7 linked regions of the Oryctolagus cuniculus genome follow. The protein of the gene in region 1 binds, or shares a complex with, the protein of each later gene. Links are inferred from orthologs where the notes say so. Each region holds a gene or a part of one and is shown in the gene's direction. Other genes may lie near its edges. The genes, in order: CUL1, FBXO10, FBXL17, BTRC, FBXO11, TRIM21 and CCNF.

Region 1 (3,500 bases):
CCTCCTTTGATGGCCTCTTCTTTCCACCAAGGTCTCCCTCAGATCTTTCATTGAGGTCATTTTTTGCCACAGTGTCTTGGCTTTCCATGTCTGAGATTTCTCTTGAACCACAGACTCTTAAAAATCCCTAGTTTTTAACTTCTCCTGTACTATGTTTAACAATAGTTACAGAAAGTACAGAGGAAGTAGAGGGTACTTTCTAGAGTATGTCTGTCATGGCTCACCTTTCTTTAATTTACCTTCAAAACCCACGCATTCTACCTTGTTATGTTAGGCTCGAGTGTATATTATGTGTTATTAATATTTCCTTTAATATTGCTTTCATGTTATTTCTTACATTTTTAGCAGAATTGCTACTTTGAAGTTCTTTATATAGATTAAATTTGCATATAACCTTTTCATAAATACAATATGAATATAAACCCAGTTGCACCTCTAGTTAAATTTGGGAAAAGTAAGGCTGATTGTGTTTATATTTAAATGAACTTCTCAGCATTTTGTATTCTTGTGTTAAAAAATCTGAATTTCATTTTAACTGGATAATCTCCCAACAAATAATACCCATGTATGAATTCTAATATTCCTGTTTCAGAGAATGTTTTATATTATTAGTTAATTTGCTAACATGACTCCTGTGGGGAGTTTAGAGAAATGGATAAAATAAACCATATCATCTTTGAATGTTTTCATTAAAAAGAAGTCACATATGCATAAACACATGCGAGGAGAAGTAGGAATCTGAATAATCTATAGTAAACCACATCCATTTGAAGTATGTAAAATTTAAAGTTATTTATATTTGTGTGCATCTGTATACCATCACCACAAAAAAGAACTTGAAAGTTGATAGATTTTTATAGTCTATAATTTATTTTGCAGACTATTAGGAAACCATGATGATAAATGGAATTATCTTTATTCTTTTAGGTCAAATATTAAAATTATTTGATCCAGGGAACACATTCATAGATTGAATCCACTGTTGTCTTTTAAGCCAGTATGAATTGTCTCTCTAAATGCAAAATTTCCTTTAAACTTAAAATGTGAGCTGATACCTTTTGAAGTTCTAGCTCGTGCAGTAGTCTGATTTCATCATGGTAATAAATTTTTGCCAGGTTATAATCTGGACATTTTGATGACATCTTGTATTCAGGTTATTTCCTGTGACTTCAGATGTCTTGGGAAAACAGTGAGTATAGGCATTTTACACTTTTTTTTTTCTTTTTTTCTGTCCAGCTTGCATTGGTGACTTGGAGAGATTGTCTGTTCAGGCCATTGAATAAACAGGTACCCACTCTGAAGAACTTTGTGTGTTCTCTTTTATGATCCTTTGCCAGCTTCCTGCCTCTGTCCTTTAGAACATCTTGAGAGTATCCCTTATCTCACATTGTTAATGGCTCTGAATGTTTAAGGGACATGGGATATTAAATATTAAATACTGTAATCTCTAATATATTTCATGTTTCCTTTCTAAAGGTAACAAATGCTGTCTTAAAACTGATTGAAAAGGAAAGAAATGGTGAAACCATCAATACAAGACTGATTAGTGGAGTTGTACAGTCTTATGGTAAATAATTTCAGTTATTTGGAGTTTTCATGTCAAATTACAGTCACAACAGTGCCATACCAGATTCATTTAAAAAACATTTAATATCATCAGGACTGTTAGCATTTACAGAGGTACTCATAATTCCTATTTGGTGATATTTTACTTGATTTTACCCTCTTAAAAGTTGTTTGATCCTTATGCCTTTGAGAAACTTTAATGAAATAGACATTTGAGTTTTCTGATCTCATAATTAGCTACTGGCTAATGATAGAATGCTATTGAACTGAATGATAAATAGAAATCTATCAGCTTGAAACATTGAGGAACTGATAAGTTAACACAGTATTTAAAACCTTGGATAGCATGGTATTTCTTTGAAAGTTTAAATTAGAGGTTTTTATTGCTTTTGGAAATACGAAGTTTTCCAAATGTACTTCATGATAATTCTAAAGGATACCTGGTATGAGTCAATTATTTTTGTGTGTCCTGGCTTTTTTCTTCTATTGAGCGATGCACTTTATTATTAGTGAATAATAATTACCTTATGCTCTGCCATTCACATTTACCTTTATGCCTAACTTAATCTTTTATCTAAGTATATTCTGTGAAATACAACAAAAAATAGGGTAATTGAAATGCAGCTCATATTTATTTCTAGTGGAATTGGGGCTGAATGAAGATGATGCATTTGCAAAGGGCCCTACGTTAACAGTGTATAAAGAATCCTTTGAATCTCAATTTTTGGCTGACACAGAAAGATTTTATACCAGAGAGAGTACTGAATTCTTGCAACAGAACCCAGTTACCGAATATATGAAAAAGGTAAGCTTAAATATAGTACTTAAAGTAGACAAGCTAAAAATGTGCCATTCAGATGAGTTACTGTTTAAAATAGCATATGCACTTTTCTTCACACAAGTCATTTGTTGGGCATTGTTGTCCTAGCATGTCTTCAGCAGGTGTAAATACTTCTTCTAATTCTCCAGGGAGCTTTTTATAAATTTGTTTGCTGACCATGCCTGAAAGTTCTGGCTGTTTTACAGATATATAAAAGCTGTGTGACTTTTGTTTTGAACTATTTTTCCTAGAACGTAAATATCTTAGGGTTGTCTCGGTCTTACCATGTTAGTGAGAACATTTTCAGATACAAATATTCTCAGATTTGTGAGTAAGTTTTTGCTTTCTTCTAACATGTCTCCCTGAGAATCTATAACAGTTTCAGGTTGAAGGTAGAGGAGTAGTCTCTGACACAGCAGGATCCTGTTTCTCATGTGGGACAAGACCTAAGATTAAACCAGGGTTTCCAGTCCTTTTCTGTACCGAGTGATATGACCAAGTTCTAACAGATTTGTTCTGTATTCACTTTCTTAGAAATACAGGAATCCTGGACTTGGGCTCTGAGGAAAGACCTGTGTCAGGAGTCAGCAAACGTTTTTTGCCAGAGACTGGATAGTAATGCTTGAGGCATTGTGGGCCATGTGGTCTCTCTTGGTGCTGCAGGCAAAAGCAGACGTAACATCCTGTGAATAAATGGGTGTGGTTGGGTTCCAGTACCACTTCATCTGTATTTAAGAAGAAAAACAAAGGTGGTAGGCTGGATCTGGCCTACGTGGAAGTTTGCTGATCCTTGAACTAGATGAGTTAGATTTCTAGGGAGTCTGGGTCTTGTTGGTCTGGTGGCTGCTTTGATCTTATTCCCTGTGCACCTGGTGAGGGACTGCAGACTCGCCTCCTCTTGTATGATGTGAGAAAATAAGCGATAAAGTCCTGTCCAGTTTGTGGTGTTCTGAATGTGTTGTCTCATAGGAGATAGCAGTTATAATTGGGGCTTAGAATAACAACAAAAACTGATAGCTCAGAATCTAAGAAAAAATGGATTGGTTCAGAAGTATTATACTTGAAATATTAATAGTTCCTTGTGTATGTGTATTTTGGGGTTAAATGGACTTTG
Region 2 (3,027 bases), on another chromosome or scaffold:
AGAGCCGACTCAGGCTCGCCCACCGGGGCGTGTGATTCAGGGCAGACTTGCCCACCCGTGTTGTCAGGGCTGACTCTGGGACCACCTTGTGCTCTCCCTGCCCGTAGCCTCAGGACTCTACGTCCAGAGCAGCGAGGCCCTGCACGTCACCGCCAACGTAATCCATGCCAATGGCGACCGGGGCATCACCGTGGCCCAGAGCAGCCAGCTCACCCGCGTGGCCAACAACAGCATCTCTTGCAACCGCCAGAGTGGGGTCAAGGTCGAGGCCCAGTGCAAGGTGGAGCTCCGGGGAAATGGCATCTATGACAACAGAGGCCACGGCGTCATCACCAAAGGCGACAGCACAGTCGTCATTGAAAACGACATCATCGGCAACCGGGGCAGCGGGCTGCAGCTGCTGCCCAGGTCCGACACCAAGGTGAGGGCGCGTGCACGGCTGCGGCATGTGCCCGACACCAAGGTAGGGTGTGTGCATGGCTGTGTGACACCAAGGTGAGGGCGCGTGCACGGCTGCGTGACGTGTGCCCGACACCAAGGTGAGGGCATGTGCACGGCTGTGTGACATGTGCCCGACACCAAGGTGAGGGCGTGTGCATGGCTGTGTGACGTGTGCCCGACACCAGGGTGAGGGTGTGTGCATGGCTGTGTGACACCAAGGTGAGGGCGCGTGCACGGCTGTGTGACGTGTGCCCGACACCAAGGTGAGGGCATGTGCACGGCTGTGTGACGAGTGCCCAACACCAAGGTGAGGGCATGTGCACGGCTGTGTGACGAGTGCCCAACACCAAGGTGAGGGTGTGTGCATGGCTGTGTGACATGTGCCCGACACCAAGGTAGGGTGTGTGCACAGCTGCGGCGTGTGCCCGACACCAAGGTGAGGGTGCGTGCACGGCTGTGTGACATGTGCCCGACACCAAGGTAGGGTGTGTGCACAGCTGCGGCGTGTGCCCGACACCAAGGTGAGGGTGCGTGCACGGCTGTGTGACATGTGCCCGACACCAAGGTAGGGTGTGTGCACAGCTGCGGCGTGTGCCCGACACCAAGGTGAGGGCGCGTGCACGGCTGCGGCGTGTGCCCCTCTGCCCAGCGCAGAAGCACGAGCTCCCAGCTCTGCAGGGGATGCCGTCCCTCCTGCCAAGACGTGCCCCTGGATATGCCAGTGGGGCCGCACATAGGAAGGGACGCGCAAGCTGGGCCCTGAAGGCTGAGTGAGAGTTCACCCACAGGAGGCCGGGGGTGCTAGAAGCCTCCTGAGGCGTCTTCCTGGTCCCGGGTCAGGGTCAGAACTATTTCAGCTCCCTTCCCCAGGAGAATGATCTGTGCACGATCCGGCATGCAGCGGGTGCTTCATAGACATCCTGCCTCAGGGCCTTTGCACATGCTCTTCCACGTGCGCTGGAAACCCCCTGCCCCAATTTTCCGAGTCCTCCAGCTGTCTGAGGCGCCTCTTAGGACGTCGGGGTAGCTGCCCCTCGCAGAGCCCCTCTTCCCGCAGTGCCGTACACCCATTCCTTCGCCTGTCTGCCTGCGCCTCACACCGTGAGCGCCGAGCTCCGTGTGCAGACCTCTGCGCTGGGGCCATTGCACGGCTTCCCCGACGGACCCGGTCCCTGCCCTGGTGGAATCGGGCCCCAGAGGCTCTGGTCAGCTCTGCAGCTGCACAAGCAGTGACAGGCGAGGAGCAGAGAACTCCTCGACTTGGCTTCCGAGTGCTGTGGAAACAGGGAGCGAGGGCCACACCGCGGCCTCAGTTGGGTCTCAGCAGCCCTGGCTTCCGGCACCAGCTTCCTCTCTACCAGCCCTTGCACGTGGCTTCTTCCTGGAATAACTCGCCCTTGCTCTGCACCTGGTAACTCTGACAGCTAACACATCACCTCCTCCAGGAAGCTTTCCCTGGTTCCTCCAGGCTGGTCTTCTTGCTCTTCCTTGAGTTCCTTTGGCTCTCGGCTGACCTACCTAGCTTATTATTTTTTAAGATTTATTTATTTATTTGAAAGTCAGAGCCGGTGCTGTGGCACAGAGGGTTAAGCAGCCTCCTGCAGTGCCGGCATCCCATACGGACACCAGTGTCCTGATGGCTCCACTTCCAGTCCAGCTCCCTGCTAATGCACCCGGGAAAGCAGCAGAAGACAACAGATGTCCTTGGGCCCCATACTCCCGTGGGAGACCCGGAAATAACTCTTTCTCTTTTGTCTTTGTCTTTTTTTTTTTTTAAAACATTTATTTATTTGAAAGCATTAGAGAGAAAGGAGAGAGACAAAGAGATCTTCCACCTGCTGTTTCACTCCCTAGCCACAATGGCTAGGGCTGTGCTAGGCTGAAGCCAAGAGCTTCTTCCAATCTCCCATGTGGGTGCAGGAGCCCAAGTACTTGGGCCATCTTCTACTGCTTTCCCAGGCTACAGCAGGGAGCTGGATAGGAAGCAGCGCCTATATGGGATGTCGGCATTGCAGGTGGCAGCTTTGTCTGCTACGCCACAGCCCTGGCCCCCACCTAGAATGTTTTACCACCTCGGTTTTATAGTTTACCATGTAAGTGACTCACTTGCCTGAGTCCCTGAGGTCTGACAAGCTGTGGCTGCCTCTCCCAGGTAATAAAGAACCGGATCCACTCATTCCGGGCCTACGGCATCGCAGTGCGGGGCCGCGCCAAGGCCCTGGTGCAGGATAACATCATCTTCCAGGGCAAGACCAGCAAGACCATCTTCCAGCAGATCGCAAACAACCGGGACTGTGTCATGCAGAACAACAAGTTCCTGGTCTTCAGGAAGAAGTAAGTGCCCAGCGCTGCCCGAACCATGAGGTCGCTGGGGAGCCAGACGCAGGCCTAGTGACCCGGCTGCCCTTGCCCCGGCGGCCTGGCCAGAGAACTTGTACCTGACTCCCTGGGAGGGAACAGACCTGAGCATCAGGGTATTTGGTTTCATGTCTCATCTCTGCCAGGTACTGGCTGTGTGACTTTGGGCAAGTTACTGAGACACCTCTGAGCCTTAGTGAAATCTAGTTGTTACTATCTCCCCTTTTG
Region 3 (3,500 bases), on another chromosome or scaffold:
CCTCAAAATGGTGTTTACACGGGTTTTTCTTGAAAACAATTATTAATGTTATCTTGGCTGGGGTTTCTTTGTTGCAACTTATAGCTGTCATTCATTTTAATGTATTCCTTCTGTAGGTATGAATGTTTGAAAGTGCAGGTAACCTTGTAGTGAGTAAAACTGATAAAAGGTTATATCCAATGAAAGAGAAATTATGGAATGATTATTCACTTTGCAAAAGGGTTTGTCATAGGGCAAGCTCTCCTAAAGCATTTCAAATTTAATTTGGTTTCTAAAACATTCATTTACACACAACATTTCAGGAACAAATTTAGTGAGGAAATGAGAGAAATCGTCATAATTAGATGGAGGTCCCCGATGCCGCCAGCATTAATGCTTCTGCCTCTCTGTCCCTCCCTGCAGCACTGATTGCTATTGGGCGCTACAGCATGACCATAGAGACTGTGGATGTTGGATGGTGTAAAGAAATCACAGACCAAGGAGCCACCTTGATTGCACAGAGCAGCAAATCCCTGCGGTATTTGGGGCTGATGCGATGTGATAAAGTAAGAGTCGCCCATCCAGTTCTGGTTTTTTACCTGTCAGTACAGTAAATAGCTTGATGTCATATTCCTTTTCCTTTCCTTTTCTCTCCCTTATCCATATCTATACCTACACACACACACACACACACACACACACAGGTATGTATGTATATGTGTATGTGTATGTATGTATATGCAATTTTGATCTAATTTTCTAACCTGTGCATTTCTGACTTAATAATGAGTTTTGTGCTTCAGCAGAAAGAAAATGCAATCATACACACAGTCAACTTGGATGTTGACATGCTACTCCTAAGTCCATGGACCAAAATTAAAAGGTTGCATGGCAAACTGCAATTTGCAGGGTCTAACAGTAAAATTCAATTGTGAGTTTCCAGTTTCCTACAACAATAGAGTGGAAAAAAAATACCCAACTGGTTTTTCACAAGTGTGTAATTTCAGGGTCCCACATCTATGAGCTGTGGCCTTGTGTGGGCAAGAAGGGACCAGGGAGGAGGTGTGTGGGAAGTGGCGTGACCCCACACTTCAGATGGCACTCCTAGCACAGGATGAGACATGGTCCCAGAGGCCGGGGAGAAGGCCTGTGCAGCTGGCCAGGGACAGTGTCTACTGGGGGCCTGTGATGACTGGGAAGATAATAGCAGTTATATAGATGCCCAGGCCCTGGCCCTCGAGGGGTGTCTTCCCCTTTGTGACTTCCATGTCGTCCCATACAAACCTTAGAAATGGTTATGTGCACTGTGGAGGGGAGAAGAAAGACCAGGCACTGGCCCCAGGCTGCTCAGCCAGGACTTCACCCCAGGCTCTCAAAGACTGGGTCCCATGCTCCTTGATGAATCTGCAAGCAGTGTCCGGCCATGGAGCCTGCTTCCTTGGTAACGGACCACTTCCGGTGCTTCCTTGATCAGCAGATCCTGGCACCGTTCCCGAGTTCACACACGTGTGCTGCCTTGGCAGTGGTGATTAGGGGTGCTTCTACAAGAGCAGGCGTTTTCTAAAATGGGGCAAATGTAGGGGCAATAGAAGAATGGCTGAAAGCCCTTATGTGCTTTGTCATTTTTGTTAATTGGCTGAATTCTTTGCTCAGAATGCTTTAAAATCCCAATTTATACTGGACCTTTTTCAATTAGTTATGTTTAGAGAGATTTTAGCATGTATTCTTAGCCCAGCCTAGAAAGCGACTTACTCTGTAACTAAGCAACAGCACTGGGACCCAGGGGTTGCAAGTCTCGCTCAGCTCTCTACCAACCCGGCTGCTTTCAAATGACTTCTCTGAGAACAAGTTGAAGGGTCCACAACGGGCAGGGTGCTAGAAACACGGGACAGGGACAGCAGAGCTCCTCAGCTCCTGGAAGGAATTGCTACGCGAGTGCTGCCTGACCACAGACACAAGGCTGTGTGCATGCACATGTCTTTGTGCGTCTACCAGCATTCTCAGAGATCACCAGATTTCTACTCCGTACCCTTGTAGATCTGTTGAGAGCAGCTCCACCCCCCAGAGGTGAACTGTAGAAGTTGTATGTTCCTGTTGACACAGCAGAGTGTCCCAGACAGGTTTGCAGACCAACATCTCACTGATTGGAAGTTTAGGCATGGGTGCATTTCTGCGCAAGTGCAGGTAAGTCCAGAATGAGACAGGGAGAGGCTGTTCTGCTTAGCAGTATCCCTGGAGGTCTTATCCTTTCTGCGGGTGGCCTCTGAGTCCTGTCTCCAGCTAGACAGCTGCTTCGGCAGCCCATTGGCTCTAGCGTGAGGTCATCTGGCCAAGAGCTACCCCAGGGGATGCTGGACCCGGCCTTAAGGAGATGCATCTCCTTAAGACTTAAGGCATCTCGGAGCCAAACAGGAGAGGTTCCATGAGAACAAAGACGTTTCCAAGCCACACACAGGGTGCACAGAAAACACAGTGAGGCCCGTCATTGGTTCAGTTGGATGGAAACCTAAAGTAGCTATTCAGCTTTCAAAGGTTGTATTTTGCCATTCATCTCCAGATTTTCAGATATCAGTGAGATTCAAAGAGAAATGTGAGTAGTGAAGGAAAGAGGTTGGTAGACAAGGAAGACATGGTCCCTGGAGCCACAGTGCAGGCGCACATCTGGGCTCTGTAGTCAGGTTGGCCCTCACTGTCCATTTCCTCATGCCTAACGTGACACAGGTGCTACTACCTGTCTTGTAGGATGGTGAGCCATTGAATGAGTTAACTTACATAAGGCTACTTGAAAAAGTTTGTGCAAAAATGGAATTAAAAGGTAAGTTTATTTGGGGGGCCAAAAGTTTTTGAAATTCATGCATTGCTATTTCAAAATACACATTTTCCATGGTATTTTTTGAAGACCCATCTTACAGCTGACATTTTTAAGAGTGCTGAAGGAATTACAGAATACTTAGATAAACAAGAGACATATGATGCTGTCGGGTTGGAAAACTCAATATGGTTAACATGCCAGTGTTCCCCATGCAAACCAAGTGTGGGAGGACCTGGAGCTGGACATAATATCTAATATCTGTCGCTCCCCCTGGCCACTTTCCCCACTTCCGCGGGGGAGCGGCACACCACTGGCCGGCTCTCTCTGGGGCTGCACAGGTGTTCCTTCAGATGTTCCTCTTAGATGTTCCTGGTGCATGTTGTCTCTCTCCTCCTTTATAGTCCTCTTCCACCAATCCCAACTCTGCTACCCACACGCCGAGTACGCTGCTCTCCTCCAATCAGGAGTAGGTCCTACAGTTTATTGGTTGAACTGGAGGCAGCTGTGTAGAAGCTGTTTCTCCCTTCTCAGCGCCATATTGTGGGAGAGCAGATGCATAGAAATAAGTCTTAATTCCAGTAACTTAGTCTAGTCCGAGTTGCTCCCAGTTGCTCCCCACAATATCTGTTGTGTACACGAGGGTGCCTCAATTACTTTATTAAAACCAATTTAAAAATAAGTGTATTTAGTGCAAAACAATGTTGAAATC
Region 4 (4,069 bases), on another chromosome or scaffold:
TATTAATTTCAGAGAGCAGACTTCAGAATAAGGACTCTTATCAGGGGTGAAGATGGGTTCTCAGATCACAGTGACCACAATGGAATGAAACTAGAAATCAATAACAGGAAAATAGAAATAGTTGCAAAATGCCAGAGCATCCATGGAGATTAAACAGCATCCTTCTGAGTTACATATGGGTCAGAGAACTTTGAAAAGTATTTTGAAGGGCTAGTGCTGTGGCACAGCAGGTTAACGCCCTGGCCTGATGCACTGGCATCCCATATGGGCACCGGTTCAAGACCTGGCAGCTCTACTTCCAATCCAGTTCTCTGCTATAGCCTGGGAAAGCAGTAGAAGATGGCCCAAGTCCTCGGGCCCCTGCGCCCATGTGGGAGACCCGGAAGAAGCTCCTGGCTCCTGGCTTCAGATCGGCGCAGCTCGGGTATTGCAGCCAATTGGGGAGTGAACCAGCAAATGGAAGACCTCTCTCTCTCTGCCTCTCCTCTCTGTAACTCTGATTTTCAAATAAATAAATAGATCTTTAAAAATATTTTGAACCAAATGAAAATGAAAATATGGCTTATTTAAAAATTGTGGGATGTAGGGAAATTTATAGCATTGAATGCATGTATTAGAGAAGAAAGCTGTGAAATCAATAAAGTTTCTACTTGAGTAAACTAGAAGATCAAATTAAATCCAAAGTAAGCAGAAGAAAAGAAATGAAAAAAATTAGAGCAGAAATCTATGAAATAGGCAAGAAAATCAGTAAGACCAGAGCTGGGAGAGTGGCCATTTAGCCAAGCAGTTAAGATACTCAAATCCTACATCGTAGTGCCTGGATTGGACTCTTGTAATTGGGTTCCTACCATCCACAGGAAAGACCTGTATTAGGTTCCCTGATTCCAACCTTGCCCCCAGGCCCAGCCCTGGCCGTTGCAAGCATTTGTGCAGAGAACCAGCAGATGGAAACTTTGTCTCTCTGTCTCTGTGAGTGTGTGTGTGTGTGTGTGTGTTTGTGTGCGCACGTGCCTGTCAAATAAATAAATTAACCAAAAAGCTGGTTTTCTTTAAAAATATCAATAAAATTGATAAGCCTTTAGCCAGGATAAGGAAAAGAGAGATTAAACAAAATTACAGTATCAGCAGTGAAAGGGCATCGCCACAGATTTCATGAACATTTAAAGGATAATAGAGGAGGCCGGCGCCGTGGCTCACTTGACTAATCCTCCGTTTGTGGCGCTGGCACACCGGGTTCTAGTCCCGGTTGGGGCGCCGGATTCTGTCCCAGTTGTTCCTCTTCCAGTCCAGTTCTCTGCTGTGGCCCGGGAGTGCAGTGGAGGATGGCCCAAGTGCTTGGGCCCTGCACCCACATGGCAGACCAGGAGGAAGCACCTGGCTCCTGGCTTCAGATCAGCGCAGTGCACCGGCCACAGTGGCCATTGAGGGGTGAACCAATGGAAAAGGAAGACCTTTCTCTCTGTTTCTCTCTCTCTCTCACTGTCTAACTCTGCCTGTCCAAAAAATTAAAAAAAAAAAAAAAAAGGATAATAGAGGAAATACTGTGCACAGCTCTTGATGCCCGCAGTTTAATCGCCTATGTGAAACAGAATAATTCCTTGAAAGTTACAGTGCCACAGTTCACACATAAAGCGGTAGATAATCTGAACAGGCCTGTATTTATTAAAGAAACTGAATCAGTAGGTAGCAGCCTTCTAAAACATTTTGAGACCAGGCCCCATTTAAGACAGAAATTTCACCCATTTTCTAATTTCTTCTTTAGGATAAAAGGAGAAAGAATGTTTCCTAACCTGGCCGGCGCCGCGGCTCACTAGGCTGATCCTCCGCCTAGCGGCGCCGGCACACCAGGTTCTAGTCCCGGTCGGGGCGCCGGATTCTGTCCCAGTTGCCCCTCTTCCAGGCCAGCTCTCTGCTGTGGCCAGGGAGTGCAGTGGAGGATGGCCCAAGTACTTGGGCCCTGCACCCACATGGGAGGCCAGGATAAGTACCTGGCTCCTGCCATCGGATCAGTGCGGTGCGCCGGCTGCAGCGGCCATTGGAGGGTGAACCAACGGCAAAGGAAGACCTTTCTCTGTCTCTCTCTCTCTCTGTCCACTCTGCCTGTCAAAAAATAATAAAAAAAATTAAAAAAAAATGTTTCCTAACCCACACTGTGGAGCCAGCATTACCCTAATTCCCACACCAGGCAAAGGTACCACAAGAACAACTTGGTACAGACCAGTATTTCTCACGAACATAGGTGCTCATGTTTGAGCGCCTTTAGATCTTGAATGTAAAACGGGGTAAGCACTGTGGTGCAGTGGGTTAAGTTGTTGCTTGGGATTGAGTCCCATCTCTACTTCCCATCCAACTTCCTGTGAATGCACCTGGAAGACTGCAGAAGAGAGCCCAGGAACTTGGAGTTCCTGGCTGCTGGCTTTGGCCTTTGCAGATAGCAGTTACCTCTTTCTCTGTCTCTCCTTCTCTCTCACTCACTCTCTCTCTATCAAACTGCCTCTCAAATAAATAAATAAATAAAACTTTTTAAAATTATTTTTAAAGACTTATCTGAAATACAAAATAAAAATGTATAAAGAGAATGGTACACTATGATCAGATAACATTTATCTAGGTACAATATGCAAAGCTGCTTTTAACATTAAAAAAATCTAATAATGTAATCTACCACATTGACAGGCTAAAGAAGAAAAATCACATGAGCACATGAGTAGATGCAGTAAAAGTGTTGCAACACCCATTCATGATAAAACTCTGAGCAAGGGAGTAGCCTTGGGATGCAGCAGCTTAAGCTGCCACTTGCAACACTAGCATCCCGTATTAGAGCGCCAGTTCAAGTCTCAGCTGCTCCACTTAACATTCCAGCTCCCTGCTAATGCACTTGGGAAAGCAGCAGGTGATGATGCAAGTACTTGGGCTCCTGCCTCCCTTGTAGGAGATGCAGATGGAGTTACGGGCCTCTGGCTTCAGTCAGACCCAACCCTAGCCGTTGAGACCTTTTGGGAGTGAATCAGCAGATGGAAGATACCTATTTTTTATTTTTTTTTAAGATTTATTTATTTGAAAGGCAGAGTTACAGAGAGACAGAGAGAGAGAGGGGTCTTCCATCTGCTGGTTCACTCCCCAGATGACTGAAACAGCCAGAGCTGCACCAATCAGGAGCCAGGAGCTTCCTCCAGACCTCCCACACTGGTGCAGGGTCCCACAGACTTGGGCCATCTTCTGCTGCTTTCCCAGGCCACAGCAGAGAGCTGGATCAGAAGTGGAGCAGCCGGGACTCAAACCAGTGCCCATGGGGTGCCGGCACCGCAGGCAGCAGCTTTACCCGCTACACCACAGCGCCAGCCTCAGGTATCTCTTTCTGTCTCTGCCTCTTCCTCTGTCACTGTACCTTTCAAATTAAGAGGAAGAAACAACAGAAAACCAGGAATAGAAGGGATCTAATAAAATACCGCTAAAACTTGCCATATAAATGCTTTTTATTGACAGTGTTAGTTGTTGGTAAGAATGTGGAGCAACTGGAACTCTTATACTGCTGGTGTGAGTGTAAATAAACTGGCACAGCTTTTCAAAAACTTTCATAATGGCATCTATCAAAGTAAACATGTACCTACTCCATGGCCAGCAGTTGTACTCCTAGGAGAAATGAGTACATGTATCCCTCAAAAAACATGTGCAAAAATGTTCGTAGCAGCTTTACTTACGATAGCCATAAACTGTAATCAGAACGTGTATGTCCACCAGCAAGAGAATAATAGATCAATTGTAGTACTCTGTATGGTGGAATATCATCCAGTAATACAAAGAAAGTAGACTACAGTTTTGTAGATATAATAATAGGGTGGAATCTTGTAGATACAGTGTCCGATGAAAGAAGCCTTCAAGAGAGAATATAGTCTGTGCATGTCTATTTATATGGAATTCAAGAACAGTCCAAACAAATTAATGGTAGGTTTGGAGTGAAGCTAGTGTCAGCTGGTAGGGGCCAGAGATATTTCAGGATGCAGGAAATGCTCTGCTTCTTGGTTGGGGTGCTGGTTTCTGTCAGTGTTGTGCTGGAACACTCCTGTCA
Region 5 (3,500 bases), on another chromosome or scaffold:
TTTTTTCTCTTTTTCTGAGCTGCTTTTTCTGGAGCTACTGTTTGTTAGTCATGATTTTGTTTCCACAAGAAACCACTTAGAATTGTAATTATTAGAAGTATTTTTAATATGGATTTGAGTTTATTGCTAATCACATTAAATTAATTGTTAAATATGGCTGCTTACAATAAAAGCTGGTGAAACATATATAACCAATAGTCTGAATATTAGCCCTACAACTCAGTACTTAAGTTTTTAAAAAGTTTCCCTTCCATAAAAGTATTTATTTGTTGAAATGGAGTTAAGATAATATGCTTTAAAATATCTTCTCTACAGCACCAGGAAAAGTAGCAGACAAAGTTATAATTGAAAACACTAGAGATTCAACCTTCGTTTTTATGGAAGGTTCTGAAGATGCTTATGTTGGATATATGACAATAAGGGTAAGAAATTTTAATATTTAAAATATACATGTTGAAATCATCAAGGCAGTGGTTATTGCAAATAAAATTTCTATTTTTCAGTTTAACCCTGATGACAAATCTGCTCAGCACCACAATGCACACCACTGCTTAGAGATTACAGTAAATTGTAGCCCTATTATTGATCACTGTATCATCCGAAGTACATGTACAGGTTAGTGTTTCCTTTATCTTTCATAATAAAATTGAGTCACTGTGTTGTTGTCCAATAGGGTTTTTAATAGATTTTTTTCCTTACAGTTGGTTCTGCAGTATGTGTTAGTGGTCAAGGAGCATGTCCCACTATCAAGCACTGTAACATCAGCGACTGTGAAAATGTTGGGCTTTATATAACAGATCATGCACAGGTATTTTAAAATTTTGTTTCTCTCTTTTAAAATACTATTTTTAAAGCTGTACTAATGTTTATTTCTTGGTTATTGTTGTAGGGAATATATGAGGATAATGAAATTTCCAATAATGCGTTAGCTGGGATTTGGGTTAAAAATCATGGAAACCCAATCATTAGACGAAATCATATTCATCATGGACGTGATGTTGGTGTGTTCACATTTGATCATGGCATGGTAAGAACATTAAGCACATTTATTCTTAATAGAAAAGTTGACTTCTGTATCAGTTCAAGTTTAGCTGTGTTTCATCATTATTTTCTCATCACCATAGTATCTGAATTAAAGAATATAGGTTTAAAAGAAATTTAGGTATTTTAGAATGGATATGCAGTATTCATTTTATGAATTCATGCATCAAACATATCTATGTAGATGCAATGAAATCCTTAGAGAATTGATGTGCTATTTGAGAAGAAGATGTAATCTCTGTTAGTTATAAAATGTAAGTGTAACTATAATACTAGAACTTGTTCTCTAAAAATTACTTCATTTTAGTGTATTAAGTGGAGGATATTCTTAAGTCGCATAAGTTATGTCTTTTTTTTTTTTTTTTTTTTTGACAGGCAGAGTGGACAGTCAGAAAGACAGAGAGAAAGGTCTTCCTTTTGCCATTGGTTCACCCTCCAATGGCCGCCGCGGCCGGCTTGCTGCGGCCGGCACGCCGCGCTGATCCGAAGCCAGGAGCCAGGTGCTTCTCCTGGTCTCCCATGGGGTGCAGGGCCCAAGTACTTGGGCCATCCTCCACTGCACTCCCGGGCCACAGCAGAGAGCTGGCCTGGAAGAGGGGCAACCGGGACAGAATCCGGCGCCCCGACCGAGACTAGAACCCGGTGTGCCGGCGCCGCAAGGTGGAGGATTAGCCTAGTGAGCCGTGGCGCCGTACCTCATAAGTTATGTCTTAAGTGCTCACAAAAGATGTGTCATTCTTGGGTTCTTCTTTAAAGATTATTAAGTTTCTGAAAAGGAAGAGAAGGAAAGAAAAAAATGAAGGAAAAAAACGAAATTAACTGCGAGATGCAATGACTTTGAACTGCTCTTGTCTGGACTATTGAGGAACAGGGATTTTTTTTTTTTTTCCTTCTCTTTTTCTTTCTCTTTCTCAAACAAAGTGTTGAACTCTTTTCTTTTCTTTTCTTTTCTTTTTTTTTTAAGATTTATTTATTTGGAAAGCAGAGTTACAGTGAGGTAGAAAGAGAGATCTTCCTTCTGCTGGGTCACTCTCCAAATGGCCACAACTACCAAAGCTGGGCCAATCCAAAGCCAGGAACCTGGAGCTTCTTCTAGGTCTCCCACATGGATACAGGGGCCCAAGCTTTCCCAGGCCATAAGCAGAGAGCTGGATTGGAAGAGAAGCAGCCAAGACTTGAACCGGTGCCCATATGGGATGCCAGCACTGCAGTCCACAACTTTACCCACTATGCCGTAGTGCCACCCCAGTGTTGAACTCTTTACCTAGAATAGTCAGTCATTTGTGTATAAAGTTAATTGAAAATAGATCTTATTAAAAAAATAAAACTTGGAATAGGAAGGGAAGAGGAAGATGGGTGGGAAGGCAGGTTACTATGTTCCTGAAGTTGTATTTATGAAATGCAGACAAATAAATAAAAGTAAGTATACATAAAAATTAAAGTAAAACAGGATTTGGTCTTTACACTTCAGACATCTTTGATTTTTCTTTTCTCATTACTTTCAATATTTTTTAAAGACTTACTTATTTGAAAGAATTACACAGAGAGAGGAGAGGCAGAGAGAGAGAGAGAGAGAGGTCTTCCGTGATGGTTCACTCCCCAATTGGCCTCAACAGCTGGAGCTGCGCTGATCTGAAGCCAGGAGCCTCCTCCAGGTCTCCCATGCGGGTACATGGGCCCAAACACTTGGGCCATCTTCTACTGCTTTCCCAGGCCGTAGCAGAGAGCTGGATTGGAAGTGGAGCAGCCGGGTCTCAAACCGGTGCCCATATGGGATGCCAGTGCTTCAAGGCTAGGGTGTTAACCCACTGCGCCACATTTCCTCTTAAATTTTTTTAAATGGCAGAACTTTAATAGGAAACACAGTGATAATAAAATGTCAGTTCCAAAACTGTTCTGCAGAAGTTTTGTTAGGCATCATTTTCGAAGTCCAAGCACAGCACTACTAACAGTTTTTTTTTTTTTTTTTTCCAACATTTATATATTTATTTATTTGAAAGAGAGAGAGAGCTTCCATCTGCTGTTTGAGTCCCCGAGCACTTGGACCATTTTCTGCCACTTTCCCAGGTACATTAGCATGGAGCTGGATTGGAAGTGAGCAGCCGGGACATAAACCCGTGCCCATATGGGATGCTGGTGTTGTAGGCAGCAGCTTTACCCACTAGGCCACAGTACTGGCCCCCAGTAGCAACAGTTTTTTGTTGTGCGGATGGAAGAGATGGGAAAGGAGGTAATAACATGGTGGCAAATAGGTGGATGGTGAGGTTTAGTTGCTGTTCTGTTAACCAAGCAACCTAGGAACATCGAAGTCATGTATACAAGCTGTCAATGGGAAAGAAAATTATTTTCATTGCTTGTGCCTGGAACCCTAAATCAGGGCTCTTTTTAAAAATTGAATTAGAGCATGAAGGAGTACCCTTTTGTCAGTGCTAATAAGACCTAAATAGTTTGAGAAAAGA
Region 6 (3,956 bases), on another chromosome or scaffold:
CCTAACATAGCAACATTATTCTCAATAGTCAAAAGGTAGGAGGAACCCAAGTATCCAACATCAGACAAATGGATAAATAAAATGTACATACAATGGGATGTTCAGTCTTAAAAAGGAAGGAAATCCTGACATGTGATACAACATGGATGAACCTTGAGGACGTTATATTAATGAAATAAGCCAGCTGTGAAGGTACATATTCTAAAGCTGATTCCACTTATATGAGGCACCTAGAGTAGTCAAATTCATAGAGACAGAAAGCAGATGGTGATTGCCAGGGCCTGAGAGAAAGGAAATAGTAAGTTATTGTCTGGGTACAGAATTTCAGCCTGGGATGATGAAAATGTTCTGGAGCAGATGGTGGTGATGGTGCCACAACAAGGTGAATGCACTCATTGACATTCAATGGCAAACTGAAAATGGTTAAGGTGGTAAATGTCTCATATTAAAATAACATACTGTAGAATAGTGGTTTTTTTTCTATTTAACCCTACACTAAAGAGTTAATCTCATGAGTTATACAGTAAACTGAAAGATCATCCTAAAAATTGAGGGAATAAGAGGAAGGAGGGAGAGAAGGATGAGAAGTATCACTAGGTTCCTAAATCTGTAGATGAGTTACATGAAATTTGTTTTATCTTAAATATCAAAAATAAAAATGATATAACCTGAAAATATCCTTAGCTCAATGACAAGAACCCAGCTGGTGCTCAATAAAATGTCAGCTCCCTTCCTACCACTGCCCCATGTGATATCCGCCTCAGAGTCCTGAGGAATAAATCTCCCACCCCTGGAGGTCACCAGAAACATGAGTCCGATGGGAAGCAACTGTTTCGGCTGTCAGGAAGCAGGTGGTGGAGGCCTGTGAAGGAGAGAGCCAGGCATCCTTTGCATCCAAACCTCCTGAATAGCAGCTCCCAGAGGTGCACATAGCATTCAGGTACGAGGTGATGGCCGGTGTCAAAGCATCGATTTTTTTCACTAAGATAGATGACAAGGACAGGAGGAGGAGTGTACGCCCAGATGACATGTTGCTGAGGTTTAACTGGGCTGTGACAACTCCCCCGGCTTGGCTCTGTCTTCCCTCCTCCCACTTTTCTTTCTCTGCCCTGCTCCTTCTCCCCTACACCCGGTCATCCCCTGCCTCCGCCCTGACCCCGCCCAGTCTCTGCCCTGTCCCTCCCACCACCCCTCCCTCATCCTCCTCCCTGGGGCCCCTCCCCTTTCTCCTCCCACTCTCCTCCCTTTTCCGTTCAGACTGGCCTCTTAGAGGAAATTGAAAGTGAAATAGAGAGCTGTTGAATCGCCTGATCAGGTGAGTGAACCCGGCAGGACCACAGTACCCCTTCTTGCCTGGGTGGGGGAGGGTCTCTCTCCCCTGCCTCTGATTCTCTCTTCCAGCTACTCACTAACCCTAGAGCCTTCAACCCCACTGGCCCCGACTCGTTCAACCCAAGCCCAGCCATTCTTCCAGCACTGGCCGGTCTGCCTGAGAGGAGGCTGGGCTGAGTGTGACTTACAAACCACAGGGATGGGTGGAGCTCAGGCTGCTGTAGTGCAGGTACCTGAACTGGGCCAAGGGAAAAGGTGACCCTGGGTGTAAGGGAGCTGGTGGGTGCCCAGAGGAGCCCCCTGTGGAAGAATCCTCACTCTACTAAACTGGTCCCCAATCTCCTGCTAGAAAGGGAAAGGGCAGGCTGTTTAGGGTGTTCAATTAGAAACTTATTTAGGTTCAAGATTCTTTGCCCTAGAGGAAGTGCACAGACATATTCACATCTGTAGCAGAATATTTCAAAGTTAATGGAAATGGAATTTACTTTTGGTGCAAAAAATTGGAAATCCATGCACCCATTCGTAGTATACATTTTCTGTGAACTTTTTGAAGACCCCTTATGAATTTTTTAAGATTTTATTTTATTTGAAAGGCACAGTTGCAGAGGCAGAGAGAAAGACCGCATGCTCTTCCATCTGTTGGTTCACTCCCCAAAGGCTGCAGTGGTGGAGCTGAGCTTATCAGAAGCCAGGAGCCTACTGTTTCTTCCAGGTCTCCCATATGGGTGCAGGGGCCCAATGACTTGGGCCATCTGCTTTCCCAGGCCATAGCAGAGAGCTGGATCGGAAGTGGAACTAGCACCTATATGGATTGCAGGCAGCGGCTTTACCCACTATGCTACAGTGCCACCCCCCCCATGAATTTTTATGTATTTCATATATATGGGAGTAGAACAGAGAGAGACTCTTGCCATTATATTGAACAGTAGTGAAGATATTATACAAAGCACATAGCTCCTCTCTGACACATAGAAAGCACCTGGTAAATGACTGCTCATACTATGATTACCTCCTCCAACCTAGGCTCTGAGGATGTAACCCAGATGGACATGATGAAGTAGAATTGTCAGCAGACTTATCTGAGTCTCTCCCCCGTTTTCTCCTCGTTGGAGGACTCTGTCTCCCTTCTTCCAACAGGATCACTGGGCCAGACTGTGGAGGAGAGGCTCCTGCTGTTTGGGTTGATGTTCTTGTCTTCTCTTGCTTGGCACCACCAGCTCATCTTGTTTTCCTTTGCATTATTGTGTTCCTGTCATGCAGATCTCTTCTTTTCTGTTCCTTCTTCCCCCACCAGAGCACCCCAAGGTCTGCACAGTGCTGCCCAACAAGGACTGTCACTCCCATGGCTTCTGCAACGCCCCTGGCAATGATGTGGGAGGAGGTCACATGTGCCATCTGCCTAGATCCCATGGTGGAGCCCGTGATCATTGAATGCGGTCACAGCTTCTGCCAGGAATGTATCTCTAATGTTGGGAAAGATGGGGGTGGTATCTGTCCTGTGTGCCGGAATCACTTTCTGCTCAGGAACCTCCGGCCCAATCGGCATCTAGCCAACGTGGTGGACAACCTTAAACAAAACAGCCAGGCTGCCAAGGATGAGCCACAAGGGCAGCGGTGTATGATACATGGAGAGAAACTTCACCTGTTCTGTGAGGAAGATGGGCAAATCCTCTGCTGGGTGTGTGCCCAATACCAGAAACACCGTGAGCACCACACAGTCCCTATTGACGCGGCTGCTCAAGAGTACCAGGTGAGGCCTTCGCAGAGACATGGACAGATCCAAAGGAGAGGGGCTGGGTGAGTTTTGTTACCTCTGGAGTTCAGAGGTTGGGAAAAGAGGGATACTTTCCTCCTTTCATGTCCAGTCTAAACACAACCTTCTCATTAGAGTAGTGGATACACTCTGTGCAAATGCTATGAAGTCCATGTTTCCTTGTGGACTCCTGATAAATTAGGTGTGAGAAATGCCCTCATCCTGCCATGCCAGTAGTTCTTTTTTTTTTTTTATTTTTTGACAGGCAGAGTGGACAGTGAGAGAGAGAGACAGAGAGAAAGGTCTTCCTTTGCCGTTGTTTCACCCTCCAATGGCCGCCACGGCCGGCGCGCTGCGGCCGGCGCACCGCGCTGATCCGATGGCAGGAGCCAGGAGCCAGGTGCTTTTCCTGGTCTCCTATGGGGTACAGGGCCCAAGCACCTGGGCCATCCTCCACTGCACTCCCTGGCCACAGCAGAGAGCTGGCCTGGAAGAGGGGCAACCAGGACAGAATCCGGCGCCCCGACCGGGACTAGAACCCGGTGTGCCGGCGCCGCTAGGCGGAGGATTAGCCTAGTGAGCCGCGGCGCCGGCCAGTAGTTCTTTTTTGTAAGACGCATGATTTGGGCTTTTTCCACAGTCTGCCTATCCACCAAATGCCTACCCTAATCAGACCCCAGTCCTCCCTCCTTCTCTGTGTTTAGGCTTTATTGAAGAACCAGAATGATCATCTCCCACCCCAAGCCACTCCACCCTACTTCTTGGTTTCGTTGGGATTAACCTGTTACTTTGTTTTTGGCAGGAAAAGCTCCAGGTGGCATTAAAAAAGCTAAGATGCCAGCAGGAGTTGGCAGAGAAGTTGGAAATAGAT
Region 7 (3,500 bases), on another chromosome or scaffold:
GGGTACGAGAGCATCGGGCCACAGGCAGAGGGCACAGCTGTTCCTAGCCTGAGTGCGGACCGGCCGGGGCCAGGGCCGGGGCCGGGGCCGGGGCCGTTAGTGGAGCAGTGAGCTGGGAACAGCAGGGGCCGGGGCAGGGACTGCCTGGTGCTGAGTTGGTTCCGGCTGCGGCCATTTCCCTCGCCTTCCTCTCAGCCTCTCTGCTCCTCCTGCTGCTTAGTGCCCCTCCCTCTGGGGTCCCCCTCACCACCCTGGGGTCCGTGGCCTGGTGCTGCCTCTGCCCTGCTGCCCCAGACTGTCCCACTGAGCCTCCCTCCGGCCCGTCCCCGGTGTCTGAGCAGACGCCCGCTCGCTCGCTGGCTCCGCCTGTGGGCTGCATTTGGTGACCGCAGAATGTCTGCCTCTGTCACCCCTGGAGCCAGGCAGCTCTTGGGTCTGGTGAACTTCCTGACACACGGAAGTTCACACTCCCACAGAGGGATCAGGGCCTTGGGCGTGGGTGGCCGCCTGGCCACCTGTGGGCACCTCCCTTGCCCTTGTGCTGACCGGAGCCTTGTCTCCGGCTTCCAGGATGGCAGCACCCTGCAGCCAGCCCCCTCTTTGGTCCATCCGGTCGGGGGACCCACTGCCTTGGGCTTTTCCCGCTCTTTTCTCCTGAACTGCCAGGCTCCTCTGTAGCGGGCAGATGAGGAAGGGGGTGAGGATCAAGGGGCAGCGTGTCTGTCCCCCCCACCCCGCTCACCCCCGGAACAAGTGGACACCAAAAGCGTTGCATGGCAGCGTTCAAAGAGAAACTGGAAGGTTTTATTCAGGAACCGTACTTTTAAAAAGTGTCTAATAGTAAGCTTTTAAGATACAGAGTCCTGTAACCACCACCAGTGAATTTTAGTACATTTTCTCTCACACACACACACACACACACACACACACACATACACATACATACACACATGCACCCCCACCCCAACCCCCCAGAAAGAAACCCCAGGCTTGGTTCACTCCGGCTTCCTTGGCCCTTGGTAATCAATCTTCCTGCCGCTGGATCTGCCTATGCCGGCGTTCCATACCAAGGAGTCCCCGTCCGTGGCCTGTGTCTGACTGCTTTCTCTTGCCATCATGCGTTGCTTCATCCGTGTTGTGGCATGTGACTGGATAACATCCCGGTGTGTGGCCACATTGCCTTCGGTGACCCACCCATCCATCCACTGCACTCGAGAGTGGGAGAGACCACTGGGCACGTGGAGGCCGTCTGCCCGTTGTTGGGGGGACGCTGGGCACGTGGGAGCCATTTGCCCGTTGCTGGGGGGACGCTGGGCACGTGGGAGCCGTCTGCCCGTTGTTGGGGGGACCGCCAGACTATTCCCCAGCATGTCCTGTTATGGCTGGGATGGCTCTGAAAGTGTTGTCCCCTCCACGTCAGTGAGTTGAGGCTAAAGACAGGGTGGGGGCCAGCGCCGCAGCTCAATAGGCTAATCCTCCGCCTTGCGGCGCTGGCACACTGGGTTCTAGTCCCAGTCGGGGCGCCGGATTCTGTCCCAGTTGCCCCTCTTCTAGGACAGCTCTCTGCTGTGGCCAGGGAGTGCAGTGGAGGATGGCCCAAGTGCTTGGGCCCTGCACCCCATGGGAGACCAGGAGAAGCACCTGGCTCCTGCCTTCGGATCAGCACGGTGCGCCAGCCGCAGCGCGCCAGCCGTGGTGGCCATTGGAGGGTGAACCAACGGCAAAGGAAGACCTTTCTCTGTCTCTCTCACTGTCCACTCTGCCTGTCAAAAAAAAAAAAAAAAAAAAAGACAGGGTGGGGAGCTCACGAGTCTGCCTCCATGCCCGTTTCCAGCTTCCACGACGACGCCCCCAAGGACTACCGGCAAGTCTCCCTGACGGCGGTGAAGCAGCGATTCGAAGACAAGCGCTACGAGGAGATCAGCCAGGAAGAGGTGCCTCCTCCTGCTCACCTGGGTGTCGGGGGGCCAGGGGGAGGAGCCTCCTCCCGCTCACCTGGGTGTCGGGGGCCAGAGGGAGGAGCCTCCTCCCGCTCACCTGGGTGTCGGGGGCCAGAGGGAGGAGCCTCCTCCTGCTCACCTGGGTGTCGGGGGGCCAGGGGGAGGAGCCTTGTCCCGCTCACCTGGGTGTCTGGGGGCCAGGGGGAGGAGCCTCCTCCCACTCACCTGGGTGTCTGGGACCAGGGGGAGGAGCCTCCTCCCGCTCACCTGGGTGTCAGGGGTCAGGGAGGAGCCTCCTCCCGCTCACCTGGGTGTCTGGGGGCCAGGGGGAGGAGCCTCCTCCCGCTCACCTGGGTGTCTGGGGCCAGGGGGAGGAGCCTCCTCCCGCTCACCTGAGTGTCGGGGGCCAGAGGGAGGAGCCTTGTCCCGCTCACCTGGGTGTCGGGGGCCTCATCGGCCTGTGGGCTCCTCTCCACTCCCTGCCTCGGGCCCCCAGGTGCTGAGCTACAGCCAGTTGTGTGCAGCCCTGGGCGTGAAGCAGGAAAGCCCGGAGCCCGCGTCCTTGGTCAGCGCGGGAGACATCCACGCCTTCCTCAGCTCTCCGTCTGGGAGGAGAACCAAACGGTGAGTGCTCCGGGCCGGGGCTGTGCTGTAGACTGGCCTGTGCCCCTCAGCCACGCTGCGGCCCCCAGAGGGGGTTTGTGGGCTCAAGCCAGGCAGCCTGGGTCGGGCCATCCTCCTGATGACCGCCCTCCCCCGGTGGCTCCCGTTCTCTGTGCTGCCTCTCGCTGGCCAGGCAAAGCTGAGCTGACCATGGCACTGCGCCACCCCCTTCCCTCGCACCACTGCCCCGCGGCCCTCAGTCCGGCCTCCGTGTCCCTGCTGTGCCTCCTGGGATAAGCCCCCCCATCCTGTCCGCCCTGAAGAACTCCCACTGATCCTGCAAAGCCCACGTGAGCAGGGCCTCTGACTCCCCGCACGCACCCGTGAGCTGCTGTGGGCAGGCCCTGGGTGGTTTGTCACCCTTGTCACACACAGGGCCGTGCAAGGCCACCTCCACAGCTGGTTTCTGGGGCACGGGCCCTGGCAGCAGACGCCCGCGTGCTGCTCCCCCTTCCTCCCTGGGAAGCATGGGAGGCCTCCCTGCACTGGGCCCCTCCCAAGCTGACTACACGCAGGCTGAGACCCCCAGCACACACGCACACATGTGCACGCACTCACACGTACTCACGCATGCACTCCGGGAGGGGGTTCCTGGGCTGCCCATGTGCGCCTGTGTCTGCCTGCTCTCCTCCTGTCCGTTCCCAGGGAGACCTGGTGCCGCCTTTGCCAAGCGTGGCTGGCCTGCAGCTCCTGTTCTCGGCACCCGACAGTGCCATCGTCCTCCCAGCTTCCAGAGGGGCCGAGTGGTTTTGTGGGGTCCTGCAGCACAGTGGGCCAGGTTCACACCCTGCCCCAGGCTCGGTTTTCTCCAAATCGCCCTTCCCCCAGCCGAGCCCCTGCCCTCGAGGCCTTCCACCCATTCTACCCACAAACCTCTCGGGAGCACATGGCCATGAG

What was found.
Region 2: CUL1 (region 1) and FBXO10 share a complex: the UniProt entries of both Homo sapiens proteins name them as parts of the SCF(FBXO10) complex. The link is inferred for Oryctolagus cuniculus from reciprocal best matches to the Homo sapiens genes CUL1 and FBXO10.
Region 3: the proteins of CUL1 (region 1) and FBXL17 are in contact, whole or in part, in a cryo-EM structure (PDB 8UBT), measured with the Homo sapiens proteins. The link is inferred for Oryctolagus cuniculus from reciprocal best matches to the Homo sapiens genes CUL1 and FBXL17. Residues at the interface, in NP_001357589.1 of Homo sapiens: Thr54, His143, Arg147, Asp150, Glu151; in NP_001156787.2 of Homo sapiens: Pro325, Ser327, Leu330, Asp358, Phe359, Gln360, Asn387.
Region 4: CUL1 (region 1) and BTRC share a complex: the UniProt entries of both Homo sapiens proteins name them as parts of the SCF(BTRC) complex. The link is inferred for Oryctolagus cuniculus from reciprocal best matches to the Homo sapiens genes CUL1 and BTRC.
Region 5: CUL1 (region 1) and FBXO11 share a complex: the UniProt entries of both Homo sapiens proteins name them as parts of the SCF(FBXO11) complex. The link is inferred for Oryctolagus cuniculus from reciprocal best matches to the Homo sapiens genes CUL1 and FBXO11.
Region 6: CUL1 (region 1) and TRIM21 share a complex: the UniProt entries of both Homo sapiens proteins name them as parts of the SCF(SKP2)-like complex. The link is inferred for Oryctolagus cuniculus from reciprocal best matches to the Homo sapiens genes CUL1 and TRIM21.
Region 7: CUL1 (region 1) and CCNF share a complex: the UniProt entries of both Homo sapiens proteins name them as parts of the SCF(CCNF) complex. The link is inferred for Oryctolagus cuniculus from reciprocal best matches to the Homo sapiens genes CUL1 and CCNF.

Annotation. Positions count from the first base shown.
Region 1 is NC_091434.1:174,808,388-174,811,887, reverse strand, and holds part of CUL1 (cullin-1), read left to right. Parts: intron 1-1,236; coding exon 1,237-1,287; intron 1,288-1,476; coding exon 1,477-1,567; intron 1,568-2,207; coding exon 2,208-2,371; intron 2,372-3,500. UniProt on the Homo sapiens protein: Core component of multiple cullin-RING-based SCF (SKP1-CUL1-F-box protein) E3 ubiquitin-protein ligase complexes, which mediate the ubiquitination of proteins involved in cell cycle progression, signal transduction and transcription.
Region 2 is NC_091432.1:200,314,158-200,317,184, reverse strand, and holds part of FBXO10 (F-box only protein 10), read left to right. Parts: intron 1-107; coding exon 108-421; intron 422-2,593; coding exon 2,594-2,775; intron 2,776-3,027. UniProt on the Homo sapiens protein: Substrate-recognition component of the SCF (SKP1-CUL1-F-box protein)-type E3 ubiquitin ligase complex. Mediates the ubiquitination and degradation of BCL2, an antiapoptotic protein, thereby playing a role in apoptosis by controlling the stability of BCL2.
Region 3 is NC_091445.1:30,492,115-30,495,614, reverse strand, and holds part of FBXL17 (F-box/LRR-repeat protein 17), read left to right. Parts: intron 1-402; coding exon 403-545; intron 546-3,500. UniProt on the Homo sapiens protein: Substrate-recognition component of the SCF(FBXL17) E3 ubiquitin ligase complex, a key component of a quality control pathway required to ensure functional dimerization of BTB domain-containing proteins (dimerization quality control, DQC).
Region 4 is NC_091446.1:28,367,130-28,371,198, reverse strand, and holds the end of BTRC (F-box/WD repeat-containing protein 1A), read left to right. Parts: intron 1-3,234; coding exon 3,235-3,441; 3' UTR 3,442-3,569; downstream 3,570-4,069. UniProt on the Homo sapiens protein: Substrate recognition component of a SCF (SKP1-CUL1-F-box protein) E3 ubiquitin-protein ligase complex which mediates the ubiquitination and subsequent proteasomal degradation of target proteins. Recognizes and binds to phosphorylated target proteins.
Region 5 is NC_091433.1:155,062,257-155,065,756, forward strand, and holds part of FBXO11 (F-box only protein 11), read left to right. Parts: intron 1-315; coding exon 316-422; intron 423-503; coding exon 504-615; intron 616-701; coding exon 702-808; intron 809-889; coding exon 890-1,027; intron 1,028-3,500. UniProt on the Homo sapiens protein: Substrate recognition component of a SCF (SKP1-CUL1-F-box protein) E3 ubiquitin-protein ligase complex which mediates the ubiquitination and subsequent proteasomal degradation of target proteins, such as DTL/CDT2, BCL6, SNAI1 and PRDM1/BLIMP1.
Region 6 is NC_091432.1:62,639,570-62,643,525, forward strand, and holds the start of TRIM21 (E3 ubiquitin-protein ligase TRIM21), read left to right. Parts: upstream 1-1,156; 5' UTR 1,157-1,315; intron 1,316-2,626; 5' UTR 2,627-2,674; coding exon 2,675-3,082; intron 3,083-3,887; coding exon 3,888-3,956. UniProt on the Homo sapiens protein: E3 ubiquitin-protein ligase whose activity is dependent on E2 enzymes, UBE2D1, UBE2D2, UBE2E1 and UBE2E2.
Region 7 is NC_091450.1:32,842,571-32,846,070, reverse strand, and holds part of CCNF (cyclin-F), read left to right. Parts: intron 1-782; exon of another isoform or gene 783-1,763; intron 1,764-1,834; coding exon 1,835-1,934; exon of another isoform or gene 1,935-1,995; intron 1,996-2,063; exon of another isoform or gene 2,064-2,436; coding exon 2,437-2,564; intron 2,565-3,171; exon of another isoform or gene 3,172-3,362; intron 3,363-3,500. UniProt on the Homo sapiens protein: Substrate recognition component of a SCF (SKP1-CUL1-F-box protein) E3 ubiquitin-protein ligase complex which mediates the ubiquitination and subsequent proteasomal degradation of target proteins.